Linked DNA regions of Callithrix jacchus. The protein of the gene in region 1 purifies or fractionates together with the protein of each later gene. This does not show direct contact. Links are inferred from orthologs where the notes say so. Each region holds a gene or a part of one and is shown on either strand. Other genes may lie near its edges.

Region 1 (4,663 bases):
TGTTTCTAATAAAAATCTTACTACTACTTCCTTTTTTGCATGTATGAAAAACAACTTAGCTTGGGAAAGTAATCAGTTGTCACATTTGTTTATAGGGTTGGGCTATATAAGATGATGTCGAGGGTGACATTAAAGTATAGAACAGAGACTGCTTAGTTGGAAGCAGGCAGCCTTGGACACTAAAGACGGTCCATGTGGTTGACACGCAGTCACTTAAAGTGGCAGTGCCTCCGTCATTGAAGAACATCAGAAGGGCTTGTGAGCAAGGCTGGAATGAGCTTTGACGAACATCCAAGTTGACAAACCAGTGTGGTGCCTAACAGAGAGGACAGAGCCACCGGCAGGGGTGCTCAGGGGCTATTCCCCCTTTTATTAATAAATGACAGCGGTTTCTAGTGCCCCCCCGCTTTGGGACAGTTGCCTGACCCCTGTCCATCATCCCTTCAAGTACCCGCATCAGAAAAAGAGCCCGCGCATTCGCCTGCCAATGCCTTGTCGGTCGTAGAGGACGTTGAACTTGTTCACAAACTGGTTCATGGTGTTGCACGTTTTAGTGATGGTGCCGAGGTAGGCCATGAGCCCCACATCATTGCATTGCTGGGAGGGAACATAAAGGACCAGTTCTTCAGGGGATCTCTTGTGGCATGCCCAGGGAACAACAGTCCCCAGTCCTGCATGTGAAAGTGACAGCATAAGCCCCACCTCCCCATCTGGGTTTTACACTCACATCATAAAAGTCTGTCTTGAACTTGTCTGTGCTGAGCACTGGGAGGCAATGACACAGAGCATAGGCCTCCCGCAGGATCTCATGATTAAAGGGGACCTCTCCTAAAGGCACAAAAAGAGGCTGCATTAATTTGGATGCTGTCACTTCCCCAGAAGGGAGAGGAAGAACCCCAGGGAAGTGTCAGGGAAGCCCTTGACCTACCTGCTTCAGAGGCCTTGACGTACTCCAAGATGAGCTTGACGCGGCTGTGCAGCATCTTGATGGCACTGTGCTGTGCTATCAGGTGTTCAGCCACTGCAAGGGGATGGAGACAGGAGGAGGTTGGGACAGGATGTGGCCACACATTCCACCCCCACTTCCAAGGAATCCCCTCCGTTACCGGTGGAGTTCTCTCCACTGCCTGTTGCTGTCATTCGGGCCACGTGGTCTACACCAATGCGTTCCGCTTCCTCTGTGGCCAGAGTGTAGGTCAGCTCAGCAAACAGCATTGTGGCCTACAGGGCAAGGTAACCCACAAAGGGAGAATCAAAAGCAGGAAAGAGGACAAGAGCAGGATGTGAGGGTTGAAGGGTAGGGTTTTACCTCTCCGTTGATTATATCAATGACAGACTCAAAAACGCTGACAGGAAGCTGTGGAGGAGATGGAGAAACCTGAATACTATCTGCCAACATTGGGGCTAGTCGATTTCACACATTTCCTCTCAGCTAATTTTCCCTAGAAACCAATGAAGTAGGGATTACCTCATTTCACACAGTTTGGAGATTAAATGACTAAGCCAGAGTCACAGCAGATAAGTGGCATTTGGCATTCCCCAATACACCGTCACACAACAAAAGGTACAGCAACAATTATGACACAGTAGGCATGGGATATTACTTACATCTGTGTGCTTGGTCATAGGGTTCAACTTCAGAAAGAGGGGGCTCTCAATGATCTCACACACCTGAATGAGAGGGACGATGCACAGGAAGTCAGTGCCCCCCTTTCTCCTTCCCCTCATCCCCCATTCTCTGCTTCAGCATGCACAGGTGTGAGATGTATACCTGCTTGTGGACGTGGATGTCCGAGGGGTCAGGTGGCCCCCCTGTGGTATACCAACCCAGAAATTCCAGCTCCTTGAACACCTGTTTAACTGAAGGGGAAGGGACCAAAACACATAGTAATTATTATTATTATTTTGAGACAGAGTTGTTCTGTTGCCCAGGCTGGAGTGCAGTGGCGCAATCTTGGCTCACCACGACCTCCGCTTCCCAGGTTCAAGCGATTCTCCTGCCTCGGCCTCCTGAGTAGCTGGGACTACAGATGCACATCACCACATGCGGCTAATTTTTGTATTTTTAGTAGAGATGGGGTTTCACTATGTTGGCCAGGCTAGTCTTAAACTTCTGACCTCATAATCTGCCTGTCTCGGTCTCCCAAAGTGCTAGGATTACAGGCGTGAGCCACCGTCCATGCCCAGCCTGACATAGTAATACTTTAAGCCATCTTTCCTCTGTGTGAAGCTCCTGGTGTATTTTCACCAGCTTCTCTCCCCGCTCCTCAAATCCTGGCTCAGTTTAGAGTAATTACTCCCTTCTATCCTGTCTTTTATCCTTTACTTTCTTTTTGGGAAAGAACTCTTAATGTGTTCTTTTTCTGAGATCTCTCCAGCAATTCTCTTAACCTTTTCTTCTCTGTTCTTGGCCTCCTCTCCTGTTTATTTCCAACCTTCTCCATCTTCCCCACCCTGTACTTTTTTTTTTAACTCCCACTCCTCTTCCCCACGTCTATTCCGCTCACACTGCTCTTCCTTGGTGTAATAATATTCCTTGTCAATGATAATCTTCTCTTCCACCGTGTGGGACAGCAGCTCAAAGGAGTTCATCACCTCGATATTTCGGCCCTCCTGCTTCCCAATCAGAGCCCCAATCACTAGGAAAGAGAATGACATGGAAAAGGTGAGGGTAAGGAAACTTCTATCACCTAAGGGTCTGAGGTCAGTGGGAGCCAAGTACTGGGGAAACGATGACTTGAGGGAGGGGGAACTGGCTCCAGTAAAAAAAGGGAAAGACGACTGGGGGAGGTAAGCAAGGAGAGGAGACTGGAGGCTATGCCCAACACTCACCCTGCACAGGCCGCCCCTCCTGGGAGCGCATGCGGATCCAGTGGTCTGAGATGTTGAGAATGACAAGGGGATGGAGAGCGACGGATACACTCCCAGTCACTCCGGAGGCCATCACGCTGGGGACTACTAAGGGTGGAGGGAAAGTAGAGAGGGTGAGAGTCCGGGCCCCACGTCCTTCCCTGGAGACGGCAGTGGGGGACGACGGAGCCCGGCCACACTTCCCTCCCGCAACTTATCCCAGGGAAAGATGTTGCTGTTCCGCCCTCCTCCCTTCTTCTGGGAGCACAGGGAGGCCTCAACGCACCCCTGAAGGAGGTCTCTGGAAGCCACCCCCACACAGCCCGTTACCTGCTGCATCCACCTCCATCCCGCTGCTCCCTCCGGTCCCGTTCGCAGCTGCAGCTGCCGCCGCCATTTTCCTCGCGCCCGCCGGCCTCGGCCCCGCCCCCTTCCTTCCCGGCTTCCGTAAGGTGAGAGGCGCATGTTCAGTGTCCCCGCGGCGCGCGGCGGGCCAGGAGTCCCAGGAGTAGGTAGTTCACTGGCTTGGTTGACGGTTTTCTGGCTAAGGGATCCCGACGCCCTCGCGGGTTTTCGCAGACCTTGTCCCCTCCTGACGCCTGCGGGTAACGTTTGACAAATTACTTAACGGCTTGATAGTCCTCATCTGTAAAATTGAGATAAGAATGCCTAGTTCTTTTTTTTTTTTTTTTTTTGAGACGGAGTCTCACTCTGTTGCCCAGGCTGGAATGCAGTGGCGCGATCTCAGCTCACTGCAACCTCCGCCTGCCGGGTTCAAGCAGTTCTCCTGTCTTAGCCTCGCTAGTAGCTGGGACTACAGGCGCACACCACCACGTCTGGCTAATCTTTGGTATTTTTAGTAGAGACTGGGTTTCACCGTGTTAGCCAGGATGGCCTCTCTCTCGTGACCTCGTGATCCCCGCCTCGGCCTCCCAAAGTGCTGAGATTACAGGCGTGAGCCACCGGGCTTAGCCAAAAACGCTTAGTTCTTAAGGCTGTTGCAGAATGAATGAAATGTCGTGTTACTGCCCTCACAGTAAAATCCAAACAACCGACCACACTCTGCAAGGCCCTGCCTGAACTGCCCTGGCCTGACCTCTACTTTTCTAGCCCTTGATATTCACGCTTCAGCGGCACTGGCCCTCATGTCTGGTTTTGTTGTTTGTTTGAGACAGGATCTCACTCCATCTTCCAGGCCGGAGTGCAATGGTCTCATCTCAGCTCATTGCAGCCTCAGACTCCTGGGCTCAAGTGATCCTCCCACCTCAGCCTCCCAAGTAGTTCGGACTACAGGTGCGCCCCACCACACCCAGCTGATTTTATTATTATTTATTTATTTATTTTGAGACGGAGTTTCACTGTTACCCAGACTGAAGTGCAATGGCACAGTCTCGGCCCACCACAACCTCCGCCTCCTGGGTTCAGGCAATTCTCCTGCCTCAGCCTCCTGAGGTACTCCTGAGTACCTGGGATTACAGGCACGCGCCACCATGCCCAGCTAATTTTTAAAGTATTTTTAGTAGAGACGGGGTTTCACCATGTTGACCAGGATGGTCTCGATCTCTTGACCTCCTGATCCACCCACCTCGGCCTCCCAAAGTGCTGGGATTACAAGCTTGAGCCACTGCGCCCGGCCGTGTTTTTAGTAGAGATGTTTCACCTTGTTGACCAGCATGGTCTCGATCTCTTGACCTCGTGATCCACCTGCCTCGGCCTCCCAAAGTGCTGGGATTATAGGCATGAGCCACCGTGCCCGGCCTATTTTTTAATTTTGGTCAGAGACGGGGGTCTCGCTAGGTTGTGCAGGCTGGCC
Region 2 (4,625 bases), on another chromosome or scaffold:
GTTTCAGATAGAAGAGCCACAGGAGGCTTCTCCTCCTCGGTGGGCCCACCCATACAAGAAAGGGGCAGAGCTAGAGATGGCTTGCCCTTCCACTGTGCCGGCCTCTTGGCCAGGAAGCCAGAGACCACTGGATCCTGACTACGCTTCTCATCCTAGAGTGGGCTTCATCCCAACCAACCCCAGGCTCAGGCCTGGTAACCCCACCAACTCCAGAGCTGCCCAGGCACTGGGCATTCTGTTGTAGGGTGCTCCAATGCCACCTGTTAATACACGTTCCACCACCCCCCAGCTTTGCAGACCCTAGTGGACCGCAGCTGCCCCCTCCAACCCCATAGAAGTAAGAAGCAGAGGCCATGCAGTAACATTCCCCTTTAATAGCCTGGTGGGACCTCCAGAGGTGGAGGGGTGGGTTGCCTGGGCCCAGCTACCCAGGCCCCTTGCCCACCCACTCCACAGCCCAGAGTGGGGGCTGAACAAACACCCAGCAGGGGGCTAGACAAGCCAATTCATTTCCCATTGCTGAGTGGGTCGGGGGAGGCAACACCGACCTTAATCACATGGTGGTTTAAAAAAAAAAAACAAACTAGGGGCAGGTAGCAGGAAGGGGAGGCAAGGCCAAGGCAGGGAATTCCCCCACCGGCTGCCCCCCAACCCCCTGCCGGTGGCCCCCAATAAATATTTGCAGGGGACGCCACGGCTTGTGGCCGTGGCGGGGGTGGGTGTGCGCCAACCCTATTTCAGGCAGCGCTCGAAGTAGGTGGAGCCGATGTAGCCACCCCGCATGGAACGCTGCACGTTCTGCTCAAACAGCCGCCGGTTGTTCTGCAGGACCTCTGCGGCCTCCTTGTTCAGTGGGTCCTCGGGGTTGGGCTCCTGTGGCCAGTACAGGTGGGGTCAACAGGCCAGAGAGACAGAAGACCGATCTCCCCAAACCCAACCACCTATTCCTACTCACCAAGAAGAGATACTGCAGGCCATAAATTATGGAGTTTACCGTAAGGACTGGCTTCCAGTCCTCTCTGTGGACAGAGAGCATCAGGGTCAGGGCTTGGTGAGTGGGAGATTGCCATAGGCCCCTCTGATATTGGACAGGTCAGATCCAGGGCATAGGAGAGTGAGGATGTGGGAGACTGGGAGGGAGGGTGTGGAGCAGGCCAGGACAGGGAGAAAACCAAGGTCAGGCCATGAGGAAGATGACTGGGAAATGAAGAAACCACAGACAACAAAGGGGTGGGTAGGCACAGAGACTGATGTAGTGCCCAGAAGACCATGAGGGGGGTATGACAGGCAGGGCTGGGGAAGGCAGTAGAGGGCCAGTGCCCTCACCTGAGGATGTTGAGGCAGACGTTGCCCTCGAGGTCAATGTTGGGATGATAGACCATTGTCTCACACTTCACCTTGGGGGGATCATGCGGATAACCCTGGCCCACCTGGTTCCAGGAAAAGAAAAGGGAGATGGATTGGTGCCTGGAAGGGCCTCAGCTGCTGCCTCCTCAGTCCAGGCAGCCATCCCTGCCCACCTGGGACTCACCTTAAAACTGAACACAAACTTCCCACTCTTGTAGAAGCCCTGGGAGGGAAAGGGGGAGAAGAAGATTTTAGGGTTCAATCCTGTGGGGCCTGACAGAACATGTCTCCGTCCTCTCAGTGGGGACACTCTTGATCTGCTTCTGTGAATCCAGCCATATGCACCCTCACCTCATCAGGACAGATGACCAGCTTGAAGTTGAGGAGGTCGTCTGGATCTGAGAAGCTGATATCACACGTCTTGGGCAGGTTCAGCTCGTTTATGTCTGGGTTTGGGCAGCAGAGAGTTGGGGAAAGAAAGGGGGAGGGAGAAAGAGGGAGGGGGAAAAAGTGACAAAGAGGGAGACAGCAGGACACTTAGGGCAGGTGTTGTCAGCACAGCCCCTATGGCCTCCTCCTGGACCCCCAAGCCTCTGTCCTGGGCTGTGCTCCACACCTCCAGCCCTCTCCCTTCTCCTGTTTGGCTCTTGTGGATATATGGCATACCCCAAACAGGTATGTTCAGTCTGCGTGTCCCAACTCCTGGCCCAGGGTAAACGCCCAATTTTCTGCATCCATAGCTCCCAAATGCTCCCGCTCCAAATATCCTCTGACCACCCTGAATCCCAGGCTCCCCATCCAAGATGTTCCTACCTGTCCACCCAAAGTCAAGGGTCCTGCCTACCCTCACCAATTTTCAGTCCTCACTGTCCTTTTTCTCTGAGAGAGAAAAAGGCCTTCTTCCCACCTGACCCCCACACTCTCAAGTCCCCAAACCCTCATCACCCTAGCCCACTCCCTCTGACTCCGAGGTTCACAGCACAATAGGCTAAATTTCTTCTCACCCCTGTCTCCAATCCCTGGTAGTCACTAACCTTCTCTCCACCACCTGTCACCCCATACCCCAAATTGCTGTGACTCTGAGGCCCATGAGTTTCGGGTCCTCCAACCTAGTCCACCCGTCTGACTCTTGAGATACACGGAGTCTTCTCCCATTCATATCCCCAGCCCCTGGCCTCTACTATCCCTCTCTCCTCCTGTCATCCCAAACCCAAGTTCCCGTCTAACCCCCAGACTCTCGAGTCCCCAGCTCCTCCACTCCACTGCCTGACTCTGAGATTCCGGGTCCCTCGTACCAGACACAGGCCTTCCTAATATCCTAAACCACCACACACTGGGCCCCTATCTCTGACCCCCCTCCCCGTGACTGCATGACCCCAACCCTCAAGACCTGACCTCCGACCCGCTACACTAGGGGCCCTCCACCTCTGACCCTCGGCGATCGCATGATCCCCTCCTGACGCCCACATCACCCAGCCTCAGGCCCTGAACTCCGACTCTGGCTCCAGCCCCATCCCCTGACCCCCTACCCTTCTGGATCCGCAGCTGCGCCGCCGACGCCTTCTTGCTGCTGCCCTTGGTGCCGCCTGCCGACTCCTCCTCCTTCTTCTGCTGCTTCAGCGAGAACAGCTTGATCATCCTGCCGCCGCCGCCGCCGCTGCCGCCGCCGCGGGGCCCGGGACCCCGGCCACCCGGCCTCCCGCCGCCGCCCGCGTCGCCTCTGCTCCTCGGACCCGCCGCTGCGGCCTCCGCGGCTCTCGCCACCCGCCCGGCCTGCCGCGCCGCTCTGCTCTGCTCCGCGCCCACCGCGCGGCCCGACTCGGCTCCCGTAGTCCGGCTCTGGCCTGGCCTGGAGTCTCGGGCTCGAACGGCAGCGCTCGGCCAAACTCGGGTGTTCTCGGGCCGCCCGGCCCCGCCCCTATCGCCCCCGGCTGCTCCTTCCTTGCCCTCGCCCGCTCTGGTCTCAGGCCCCGCCGCAGCTGCGGACTCTGGTTTCCCCCGGCCGCGCCGTTTGGCCGCTCAGCTGATCCGTCCGCGAGGGAGCTGCGGCTCGGGGTGGGAGGAGGACGGGGCAGCCGCGGTGACGGGGGCTGAGTACTGAAGGATCGGTTTCCGCGGCAGCAGCGGCTTTAGCGCGGAGGTCGGTAACGGCCTCGGGCGCCCCGCCGCTTCGGATATTTCCGCCGCCTGTCCGCTTTGGGTCTTCCCGCCCGGCCTGCGTTGTGCGCCTGCGCAGCCGCGGCAAACTCGCGTTGCTCAGGGATGGAGTTTGGGGTTCGGCCTCCTTCGGCTGGATTCGGGTATTTCCGTTCTTGGAGTTGACGCTTCGGCTGCCCGGCGGGTCACTTCCGGTGACTCTAGCGGGGTCGGGCAGGAAGTGTGGTTAGCCGCCATCTTTGAGTGGGGCAGACGTGGGGTGTTTCGCTCGCGGTCACTTCATCCTATGTTGTACTTGTGCAGAGCGCGGCGCGGGTGGGTCAGAGCCTTTGACCCCATGGGTCACAGACAAAGGCAGGGTGATCGCGGCGAGACTCTGAGTGAGACTAGAGGCGTTACCCAGAGGGTGCGAGGTCGAGCACCTTCATTGTCCCATCGCAAACCCAAAGATCCCAGTTCCTGGAGATTCTGATTGAGGTAAACTAACAAAACATGTATTGTGCCAGATGGTGGTAAGCACTCTGGAGGGTTAAGGTGGTGTAGAGGAAGACCTGTCGGGCTGGACACTTGGGGAACGCGATGTGGGGGCGGAGCCGGGCAGCTCTGGGAGTGGGCCCCCAATTCCAGCAGAGACGCACTGCGGTCTCACGGCTTTCAACCCACTATCTGAAAAAGGGGATATAGGCGGGAGTCAGCTTCCCATCCAATCGCAGCTCAGTGTGTCTGGGAGGGCGGGAGGAAACAGAACCCTGCGGGTCAGCCACTTCCGCCGTCACCACGGAAACCATCGTGCTCGCGAGCGCTTGGTGTGGTGGCACTTGCCTGCGGAGGGGCCCAGGCGCCACCCCTCTGATTCTGCAGCTCCTCGCCCAGGAGTGGTCTCTGGCCAAGGGTGGCTTGTCTGCTTTCCCTGAGGCCACGCCTCCAGCCTTGTGGGTTGGGGTGACTAGAAGCAGCAGGGGAAAGTCTGGCTGCACCCCTGGAAGAAGCTTGGACAACAAGCCTTGAGTCTTAGTTCCTTGAAATGTCCAGGGCCAAGGCTAGCCCGATACCTAGCCAGAGTGAGACCTTGACTGGGGTTTAAGGTTCAAGCTGGACCCTGCTGCACATAGACCCCCTTT
Region 3 (4,960 bases), on another chromosome or scaffold:
AAATTTTAGATGATGACTGAGAAAATAACCTCAATCAGCTAAAGAATCTATAAGATTTGAAGGCCTTAATTTAAAAGACAAAAAATTGAGAAAGGTTTGTTGTTGTTGTTGTTGTTGTTTTAGACAGTTTCGCTCTTGTAGAGCCGGCTGGAATGCAGTTGCATGATCTCGGCTCACCTCCGCCTGCCTGCTGGGTTCGATTCTTCTGCCTCAGCCTCCCGAGGAGGTGGGATTACAGGAGTGCGCCACCACTCCCTGCTTTTTTTTTTTTTTTTTTTTTTTAAAGTAGAGACGGGCCGGTCAGGCTGGTCTGGTCTCGAACCCCTGACCTCAGGCGAATCACCCGTTTCGACCTCCCAAAATGCTGTGATTACAGGCGTGAGAGTCACCACGCCTGGCCAATTTTTTAAAAGATGATTCTGTCACATTCTGAGAGAATGGAAGTGAAATCAATCAATAAATAAAGATTCCGATTTTCCAGGCTGGATAACCCAGAAACCACGGTATCCTAAAGTCTCAATAAACCTTAAGGCACGGAAAGTGAGTTATCCGGCAATACGTGATGGGCGCCCGCCTACATAATCAGTGGGGCCAAGCGCAAGATGAAAATGCCCGGCACTTGCTTTAAAATTATTAAGAATTTCAAGACCGTTAACAGTAGAACATTAAACCAAGCATTATAGATGCTTCCAAGCATACGGATGCAGAGTCCATCAAGGCTAGTCCTGGTGACAGGCTCAGGTCTCGGGGTCTGGAGACCAGGAGACGTCGCTCGAAAGCTGGCCAAACCCTCGCCCTCACTGAGAGAGGCCCCAGAAGGGACCAAGAAGGCAAAGAGCCCATCGATGCCCTCAGGAGCGGGCGGAGGGACGCTCGCAGCTTTCCCAAGGGAGTGCAGGCTGCGGGGACTGAAGTTCAGCTCGGATCCTGAGCCTCTGAGCGCGGGACAACAAGGTCGTTCAACCCACATGCCTCCCCACCCAGCGTGGCCGAGGATCACAGATGTGGCAATTCCCGGCCTTGGACTCAGGCTTGTTACTCAACCACCGGCGGGTGGGGACAGGAGGCAGCGCGAGCACCCTGGACCCGCGGCCGGGGGCGGAGAGGCACCGCAAGGACACAGGGTCTAGGGAAGGTCTGCAACTCGCGGAGGGCCAAGGAAGCGTCTAAGGGGACTGCCGGAACCGGAAAAGCTGTGAGAGAACAACGCGAATACTAGGGAGCGTCTGCAAAGACCGCAGCGGAAAGCCAGGGATTGTCTAAAAAGTTGCCGGAGCGGTTAAAGGGAGGTCTAAAATGGGGCAGTCCCAAGAACAAGGCTTCCAAAAGCTAAGCCAGGAAGGAAGGTGTGGAAGCCTACTGGGACGCCGAGCACCCCTGAGGACAGGACTGGAGCTGCAGCCGACGACAGGAGAACGGCTCTAGCTGGACGGAGGAAAAAGTGGGGAGAAAGGAGGGGAGGCCTTGGGCACTGTCTGAAAAGTGCCCAAATGATTTTTAGGGACAGACAGTAAGTTGTATCCCTTGCTAAAATATCTCTCGGTAGTGAACCACCAATTTTTTTAACCCCTGCCTTTCAGCTATTACGTCTAGTTCGGCTGTCTCTGATCCAAGAAGCTGCCAGTTCCCACTTACTCCTCCCCAACAAGGGCGAAAGGCCCGCCTCCGGTGCGCACTTTCTCCTCCCCTCAGGCCCCTGGCGCATTCTCTCGCCTATCTATCAATCACGGCGCTCCGCTGTCCAGTTGGCTGGCCAAGGGGGCGGGACCGTCGTGTGACGTTTGCAGCCCGCCGGCCAGGAAGCCGCGAGATGTGTGACGAGGTAGGCTCGTGACGGAGGAGCGGTTGGCCAACGCAGCGGCGGCAGTTGGTGTAAACAAGGCCTCGCGCCACTGCGGGTCCTGCGACCGCTCCTGGCTGGTGGGTGGTCTCCCGGGGGGCGGTAACTGCCGGCTTCAGTGGGAGGTGCTTCTCGGCTTCCTACCCCTCTTGGCTTACACACCCCCGGCGCACCACGTGGGCGTGAGGCAAGGAAGAAGGGGGGGTAGGCCAAATTTTATTTTCATTGGCTGTCACTGCTGCCGGCTTTCCTAAGGAAGCGCTCTGATTGGTCGGTAAGAGGGGGCGTCGAGGGTCTTTAAGTCTTAAGGCTTCTAATTGGTTAGATGAGATAAGCTAGTGGTGCTCATTCTTTCTCGAGGGGCTTCGATTGGTCTGTCAGAGAGGTTACCTGGGAATCCAACACCGCCCAACAACCCTTCCGCTCCCCAGTCCTGGGACTTTAATAGGTGAGTTTGGTGTAGAAAACTGAGAAATCTTTCTCAAATTGGTGAGGTAGGGTGACGCCCTTCGCTTCACTCTCTCTTTCTTTGCTTCACAGGATTGGAGAAGGTTTGTGTTCCCGACGCCTTGGTAGTTGGCATAGGCTAAAGAAAAGGGATCTCAGCCCCGAGGAAGGGTCACCCTCCTGGAGATAGCTACCCCATCTCAGGAGACCCTGGTATTTCTAGAGCACGCTTTGCTTTCACCAAACCCAAGGAGGTGACAGGAGGAGCCCCCGCACAGAACCTAAGAATGCTGTGACCAAAAGATGGGATCACGGAACAGCAGCAGTGCGGGATCCGGGTCCGGAGACCCCTCCGAGGGTTTGTCCCGAAGAGGGGCTGGCCTTCGTCGGAGTGAGGAAGAGGAAGAAGAGGATGAAGATGTGGATCTGGCCCAGGTACTGGCCTATCTCCTCCGCAGGTAACTTACCCTCTGGTGTGACCTCACCAGGTGCTACCACGGTCCCTTGATCCCAACTCCAGGCAGGAAAATTACAGAGGTTAGGAAATGGGATTTGCCCAGAACAGCCGTTCTGTTTGAGCAGAACAGCCTTTCCCTATTGGGCACCCATGGCACACAGCTCCATATCCAGTAAGAGTGGGTCTTACCTAAGGAGGGTCACCAAGAGGACCTGCTCATGTGTTTGAGGGACTATTCAAGGGAGCCTCTCTCGCTGTGACTAAACAAATATAATCTATTTTCCAAGTAAGTTTAAAACAAAATGGGGCCTGGAGGGAAAGGAGTGATGTAAGGGGTGAAGAGATGGGAAGGGAGTGTTGAACTTTTTAGTAAGGCATTGACGCGTGATGTGAGGCCACTTTGATTACTTGAAAAACAAGTTTAAATTGCCCTGACCTGTTCTTGAGGAAAGAGTACCTTGAAGGGAGCGACCACCTGGAATTGACTGGAAGAGTGCAGCTAGCTTTGTTTCTTTCCTTATGGCTATTTGGGGAGAAGATGAGCATGGGGGTCCCTTCTGAATATTGTAGTCTTTTTTGTTTGTTTGTGTTTTGTTTTGTTTTCAGTAGACATAGACAGGATCTCACTGTGTTCCCCAGTCTGGAGAGCAGGCTATTCACAGGTGTGATCACAGTGCACACCACATCCTGGGCTCAAGCATTCCTTGCCTCCCAGGTAGCTAAGACTACAGTTGCACACGCCACTGCTCCCAGCTTAGAATATTGTGTTCTGTGGTGGACTTCTCAGGCAGAGGCTCAGAAGGAAACACTGTGAGAATGTTTAGCTCGTTGGGAGGTCAACTTAGTAGGTAATGTCCACAGCGTGTTGCTTTTGCTCTTGTTCTAAAAGTAAGACTCACTTTCTTACTGTGTTTTATAGGAAACTGAAAATAATAGCCAAGGTCTAGTCAGCCTGAAACCTCAAAATGAGTACCAAGTGGTCTAAGAGCTAGATAGCCATTGACTCTGAATTTGTTGGTTTGGGGGAAGAAGTCCCCTCCTTTATACTGGGGGTCTCTCCACAGAGGCCAAGTGAGGTTGGTGCAGGGAGGAGGTGCAGCAAATTTACAATTCATTCAGGCCCTCTTGGACTCAGAGGAAGAGAATGACAGAGCTTGGGATGGTCGTCTTGGGGACCGATACAACCCACCTGGTAAGAGGAAAAGGCCCTAATGTTGGAAGACTTTTACTAGAAAACCTATTAGTGATACTTTGAATAATAGATTACATTAAAAGAAGGTGCAATAATTTAGGGAATAAGGAAGTCCTTATAACCCCGGTATATTCAGCCACAGGGGTGGGCTTGGGTACAGTTCTGCTAACTATCCTCTGAGGCTGAAAGACCTAGGATGAAACTTCTTGGTACTCACAGTGGATGCCACCCCTGACACCCGGGAGCTGGAATGCAATGAGATCAAGACACAAGTGGAATTGGCCACAGGGCAGCTGGGGCTTAGGCGGGCAGCCCAGGAACACAGCTTCCCTCGAATGTTGCACCAGGTAGGCCTCTCCACCTCCCAGCCTGGCAGCAGGACTACCAAAGCAGCCAGAAGCTCTGCCAGCCCCAGAGAAAAAGAAAGTAAACTTTTCAAGGAAGTCTCAAGGGCTAGTGCTGGAGAGTTAACTAGCTTCCATCAGAGTTCTATGGGACAGACCATGGTGTGTTGTGTCTATTTCTATAACAAGAGCAATATCCTTGGTGGAGGGGGCTTGATACGGCTGAAGTGGCCCTCTGTTTCTGCTAGCAATATTCCCTAATCCCTTCCATTTAGAGAGAACGGGGCCTCTGCCACCGGGGAAGCTTCTCCCTTGGAGAACAGTCTCGAGTGATATCTCAGTGAGTATGGGGCTTGGTGAAGAGACTCTAAGGGCCAGATAAGTCTTATCTCCTAAAGTTTGAAGGGGTTGGTGTTAAAAGAGCCTTGAAGATATTAAAGTTTAGGTTAAATGGGGTTGAAACTTTGAGAGTAAACAAACTGGAAAAGTATAGAAATGTAAAGGATGCCGGGCGCGGTGGCTCACGCCTATAATCCCAGCACTTTGGGAGGCCGAGGTGGGTGGATCACGAGGTCAAGAGATCGAGACCATCCTGGTCAGCAAGGTGAAACCCCGTCTCTACTAAAAATACAAAAATTAGCTTGGCATGGTGGTGCATGCCTGTAGTCCCAGCTACTTGG
Region 4 (4,810 bases), on another chromosome or scaffold:
CCATGACAACTCCAACCCAAGCACACAGCCCTTCCAGGAGGAGGTTTCCAGGTACAAAAATCTATGTCCAGCCCTCACCATACTCCCCCGCCCTTTTTTTTTAGACAGAGTCTCACTCTGTCACCTAGGCTGGAGTGCAGTGGCACAATATGGCTCACCGCAGCCTTCATCTCCTTGATTCAAGTGATCCTCCCACTTCAGCCCCCCAAGCAGCCAGAACTACAGGCGTGCACCACTGGAAAATTTTTGTATTTTTTGCAGAGACAAGGTTTCCCCATGTTATCTAGGCTGGTCTTGAGCTCAAGCAATCCGCCCACCTCGGCCTCCCAAAGCCATGATTACAGGCGTGAGCCACTGCCCCCTTTCTCCCTCGGGACCTTGTGGGAAATGCCTCTCCTTGGGGAACCACCCTTTGATATTTGTTATAACAAAGCAAGTCTCTGAATGGCCACCAGGAAACTTCTGTGTTAAGACGCTCGAGGTTGCTTCATTTGTTTTGAGTGCGAAGGAACAGAACTGGCAACAAGCACCCACGAAGGCTCGACAAGAGAAAGGGAACGTTTGGTGGGGCGGTAGCTGCCAGATGGGTCCTATCTTCCAGTGCTCCCATACAGATCAGGGGCTGTCATGGGGAACCCTCATAGCTACCGTAGTGGCAGCAGCAACACCCGAACCCCAAACACTGGGTCCAGTTGCACCTGGCCTTGGCTGAACAAGACTGGGACTCAGGCAAAACTGGCCTTTCTCCTTTTCCTCACTCAATGTGCCGAACCCCCGCATGGAGCCTGGGGGGCAATAACCCTTGGACCCATTCCGCTCTCTCGGGAGCGGTTTCCTAATCTGTAAAGAGTAGGGCTCGGACTGGTGATCCCAAAACCCCCTCTAGTTCGAAAACCGACTAGTGCAGAAGAGTCCAGACGACCTCCGGCTCCCTGCCTCAAGGCTTCAATACCCTGGGCGCGATGTGGGACTCCTTTGTGGGACCAATGAACATTAGTTCTGAATACCGTAAGTCGTGGCCAGGCTGAAAGGACTCCCACGATGTCTCGCCCTCCTTCGCCTGGGTTTCAGAGATGAGCGACCCAAGCCGGAAACCTCCAGATAGAGTGGTGTTTGGACTCCAGCCACGGTCTCCCGTCGCCCCACTCCCACCGGCGCGCAGCCCCTGCTCACCGTTTACCAGGCAGCGACGCTCCCGGGATGCGAAGCTGCAACCGAAGCCACCTGCACTCCCCACGCGGGGCTGGCTGGCTGTGTACACGGTCGCCATGGCAACGGGTCGCTTCCGGGGATTCCGGAAGTGTCGAGAGTGGCGGAAATGAAGTCCGAGGTCCTACGTCGAGGATATGGGTGAGGTCATGGCCGAATTGGGAAGACGAGAGATGAGGCCGATTGATCTAGAAAGAACTCGGCAGATGCATGCGCGAAGCGAAGGTCGGGGTAGCGAAGGAACGAAGGCTGCACATGAACCAGGAAGCGGGGCGGCGGGGCTTCCGGCGCCGAGGAGTTTTAACTACGGCGGCCGCGGAGGCCCGTTCGATTGCTCCTCCGCGCTCGGAGCTGCTGGCGGCGTGCGCGCGCGCCCCGCCCTGGTTAGTGAGTAGCCGGCCGGCGAGGCCTGCGCAGTTGCGGCGGCCGGGGAAGATGGTGGAGGACGGTGCGGAGGAGCTGGAGGATCTGGTGCACTTCTCGGTGTCCGAGTTGCCTAGTCGCGGCTACGGAGTCATGGAGGAGATCCGGCGGCAAGGCAAGCTGTGCGACGTGACCCTCAAGGTACCGCGGGCTGGGCGGCAGCGGGCTGAGGTGAAAGGGGTCGAGCGGGCAGTAAAAAGGGGTGGGGGACAGGGAAAGAGAGGTCAGCAGGGAGAGGCGTGGGGAGTAGAGGTTTGAGGGGGCCGAGTAGTGGGGAGAGAGGTGCCGAGCAGGAGAACGGGATAGGGGCTGAGTGGGGAGAGGAAGAGGACAGACAGCCTTTCAGCCCTTGGAAGGAAAGGTTGAGAGGTGCGCCGCTTAGGCCCTCGGAGTGGGAGACATTGGGGTGACAGCCTCCCTTTTCTGTCATACAGACAAGAGAAAATGGACTTACCTTCTGTGGAGGCAGGGGCGGTGGCGGCCCCACGTGCTGATGGGCACCACTGAAGCATCTTTTCTTGTCACCACAGAAATTTCTTTGTGCCTCTTGAAGTTGGCTATGCTGTTGTAGAGGAGAAGCCTACTCCTTAGGAATCATTGCCAGCCCTTAATTTTTGAATTACTGCTTTGTCTCTTAAGAGTTTTAAAAATCTGATCTGGAAATTTTTTGAGGTGGGAAGCCACCCTGCCCCACACTTGAAGGCACCACTCACCACCAACCACCACAACCACCACCATCACAAAGGTTCCTGGGGCTGGGCCTCTTGGCTGCATGGGGAGAGGGATGCTGACTGACATTAAGAGGGAAAGATATCTTAACAACCTGTTCCCCACCAGCATCCTGGCCGCAAGAGCCAGCCTCCCTCCTGTGCCTGCGTCCTTTCATGTGGAAGAGGCGTACTGTGTTGCTCCCTAGCCAAGCCACCGAACTATGTTGAGCCGTCCGGTTGGGGAAGTAATGAGTGGGGCTCCCCGTTGGGCTTTGGCTGGAAAGCGCTCAGCATCTGTGGGTGATCCCTGTTTAAAAAACAAGCAGGCCAGGCATGGTGGCTCACACCTGTAATCCCAGCACTTTGAGAGGTGAGAGGATCACTTGAGCAGGGGAGCTGGAGACCAGCCTGGGCTATGTAGGGAGACCCTTTCTCTACAGATAAAAAATTGGCTGCGCATGGTGGCCTGTGTCTATAGTCCCAGATATCAGGAGACTGAGGTGGGAGGATCACTTGAGCCTAGAAGGTGAAGCCTGCGGTGAGCTGTAATTGCCCACTGCACTTCAGCCTGGGCAACAGAGCAAGACCCTATTTCTCCGATTTCTCTCTCTCATTTCTCCTATTTCTCTCTCTCTCTCTCTCTCACACACACACACACACACACACACACACAGAGAGAGAGAGAGAGAGAGAGAGAGAGAGAGAGAACAAAACTATGCAGAGATCCTTTTGTTCTTAGGTTCTTTTTTTTGAGATGGAGTCTGGCTCTGTCGCCCAGGCTACAGTGGGGCAATCTCGACTCACTACAGCCTCCCTCTCCTGGGTTCAAGTGATACTCCTGCCTCAGCCTCCCCACTACACATACCACCACACCTGGCTAATTTTTTGTATTTATAGTAGAGATGGGGTTTAACCGTGCCCAGGCTGGTCTTGAACTCCTGAGCTCCAACAATCCGCCCACCTCAGCCTCCCAAAGTGCCAGGATTACAGGAATGAGCCACCACGCCTGGCCTGCTCTTCTTATTTTCTACATGGTGAGGGAAACTTATCTTCTTCCACATGTTTGAGTCACACTTCTAGAGATGGTAGAGTAGGATGGTTGAGTATGGCTTTGAAGCCAGAAGGATTTGGATTAAAATCCTAGTTGTAACCTTGGGCAGGTTACTTAATCTCTGTAAGCCTACGTTTTCCAAATGTAAAAATAGGGATGATTTTGAATTCACAGCATTAGTGTGAAGATTAGATGAGAAAATTTGTGGTGCTCTTTGCGTTATACCTGGCAAAATGTTTTCATCTTTTTTTTTTCTTCTGAGACAGAGTCTCACTGTGTCACCAGGCTGGAGTGTAGTGGCACGATCTCGGCTCCCTGCAACCTCTACCTCCTAGGTTTAAGTGATTCTCCTGCCTCAGCCGCCCAGGTAACTGGGACTACAGGCGCCCACAACCACGCCCAGCTAATTTTTTTTTTTTTTTGTATTTTTAGTAGAGACAGGGTTTCAGTATGTTGGCCAGGCTGGTTTTGAACTTCTGACCTCGTGATCCCCTCCTTGACCTCCCAGAGTGCTAGGATTACAGGCATGAGTCACTGCGCCCGGCCCTTTTCATCATTCTAAACCCCTCCTGAAGGAGTTTGTTTTTCCAGGAGAGGAGTGAAGTGACCTGAGAAAGGGCAAGATCTTCTCAGATGGGAAAAGGAACCAAGCAAACTGAGAAAAATGAGCTGGACTAAAGAAGACAGAGGAAGTAAAAGTAAATGAGAAGATTTTGTCCACAGTGATTACATGGTGGAAGATGTTAAGGCTGCTAGAGATTTGTAAGCAGAAAAATGATCTAATTGTGTAGTAACACTTGGTGTAAATAGAGACTAGTGAAAAGCAGTAATAGGGGAGAATTTTTAGATTAAAATTTAGGCTGTAGGCTGGGCACTGTGGCTCACGCCTGTAACCCCAGCACTTTGGGAGGCTGAGGCAGGTGGATTACTTTCAACTCAGGAGTTTGAGACCAGCTTGGGCAACATGGTGAAACCCCGTTTTTACAGATAAAAATTTAGCTGTAGTGGTGTGTACCTTTAGTCTTAGCTACTCAGGAGGCTGAGGTGGGAGGATCACTTGAGCTTGGAAGGTAGCCTGAGCAACAGAGTGAGACCCTGTCTCAAAAAAAAAAAAAAAAAAAATCAGACATAGTTCCAACTGAAAGGGTCAGTCTGAATTGCTGTTAGTTTCAAGGATCTAGAACATAAGGACCAATATATATATATTTTTTCTTTTTTTCCTCTCTCTTTAAGAAAAAGCCTCCAGTGGGAAGGACTAGTATAAAGGCATGGGCTAGAACTGGACGGGACTGTAGACAGCATTTATTTTACTGATTTTGAAAACTATATTGTAAAGCCCAGGGGTTAGCTCCGAAGCAATATGATGATGGGACTGGGGAAAGGGCACGCAAACCAGGCTCTGCACATTTCACTACTT

Evidence for each region.
Region 2: the proteins of COPS6 (region 1) and UBE2M purify together in Homo sapiens (affinity purification with mass spectrometry; 3 studies listed by BioGRID and IntAct, counting the BioPlex papers as one, with this or other methods). This does not show direct contact. The link is inferred for Callithrix jacchus from reciprocal best matches to the Homo sapiens genes COPS6 and UBE2M.
Region 3: the proteins of COPS6 (region 1) and DCAF11 purify together in Homo sapiens (affinity purification with mass spectrometry; 6 studies listed by BioGRID and IntAct, counting the BioPlex papers as one, with this or other methods). This does not show direct contact. The link is inferred for Callithrix jacchus from reciprocal best matches to the Homo sapiens genes COPS6 and DCAF11.
Region 4: the proteins of COPS6 (region 1) and KLHL18 purify together in Homo sapiens (affinity purification with mass spectrometry; 3 studies listed by BioGRID and IntAct, with this or other methods). This does not show direct contact. The link is inferred for Callithrix jacchus from reciprocal best matches to the Homo sapiens genes COPS6 and KLHL18.

What each region holds. Positions count from the first base shown.
Region 1 is NC_133503.1:13,492,714-13,497,376, forward strand, and holds COPS6 (COP9 signalosome complex subunit 6), read right to left. Parts: upstream 3,261-4,663; 5' UTR 3,248-3,260; coding exon 3,181-3,247; intron 2,959-3,180; coding exon 2,833-2,958; intron 2,640-2,832; coding exon 2,508-2,639; intron 1,861-2,507; coding exon 1,772-1,860; intron 1,672-1,771; coding exon 1,609-1,671; intron 1,358-1,608; coding exon 1,310-1,357; intron 1,222-1,309; coding exon 1,107-1,221; intron 1,022-1,106; coding exon 929-1,021; intron 829-928; coding exon 728-828; intron 598-727; coding exon 457-597; 3' UTR 73-456; downstream 1-72. UniProt on the Homo sapiens protein: Component of the COP9 signalosome complex (CSN), a complex involved in various cellular and developmental processes.
Region 2 is NC_133523.1:51,191,448-51,196,072, forward strand, and holds UBE2M (NEDD8-conjugating enzyme Ubc12), read right to left. Parts: upstream 3,189-4,625; 5' UTR 2,986-3,188; coding exon 2,877-2,985; intron 1,794-2,876; coding exon 1,699-1,793; intron 1,571-1,698; coding exon 1,532-1,570; intron 1,431-1,531; coding exon 1,327-1,430; intron 1,020-1,326; coding exon 956-1,019; intron 874-955; coding exon 733-873; 3' UTR 355-732; downstream 1-354.
Region 3 is NC_133509.1:58,421,237-58,426,196, forward strand, and holds the start of DCAF11 (DDB1- and CUL4-associated factor 11), read left to right. Parts: upstream 1-1,772; 5' UTR 1,773-1,822; exon of another isoform or gene 1,823-2,114; intron 2,115-2,200; 5' UTR 2,201-2,288; intron 2,289-2,380; 5' UTR 2,381-2,590; coding exon 2,591-2,745; intron 2,746-3,808; coding exon 3,809-3,936; intron 3,937-4,155; coding exon 4,156-4,283; intron 4,284-4,555; coding exon 4,556-4,620; intron 4,621-4,960. UniProt on the Homo sapiens protein: May function as a substrate receptor for CUL4-DDB1 E3 ubiquitin-protein ligase complex.
Region 4 is NC_133516.1:29,940,372-29,945,181, forward strand, and holds the start of KLHL18 (kelch-like protein 18), read left to right. Parts: upstream 1-1,622; 5' UTR 1,623-1,644; coding exon 1,645-1,773; intron 1,774-4,810. Other genes in the region: kinesin-like protein KIF9, read right to left, coding at 1,008-1,270. UniProt on the Homo sapiens protein: Substrate-specific adapter of a BCR (BTB-CUL3-RBX1) E3 ubiquitin-protein ligase complex required for mitotic progression and cytokinesis.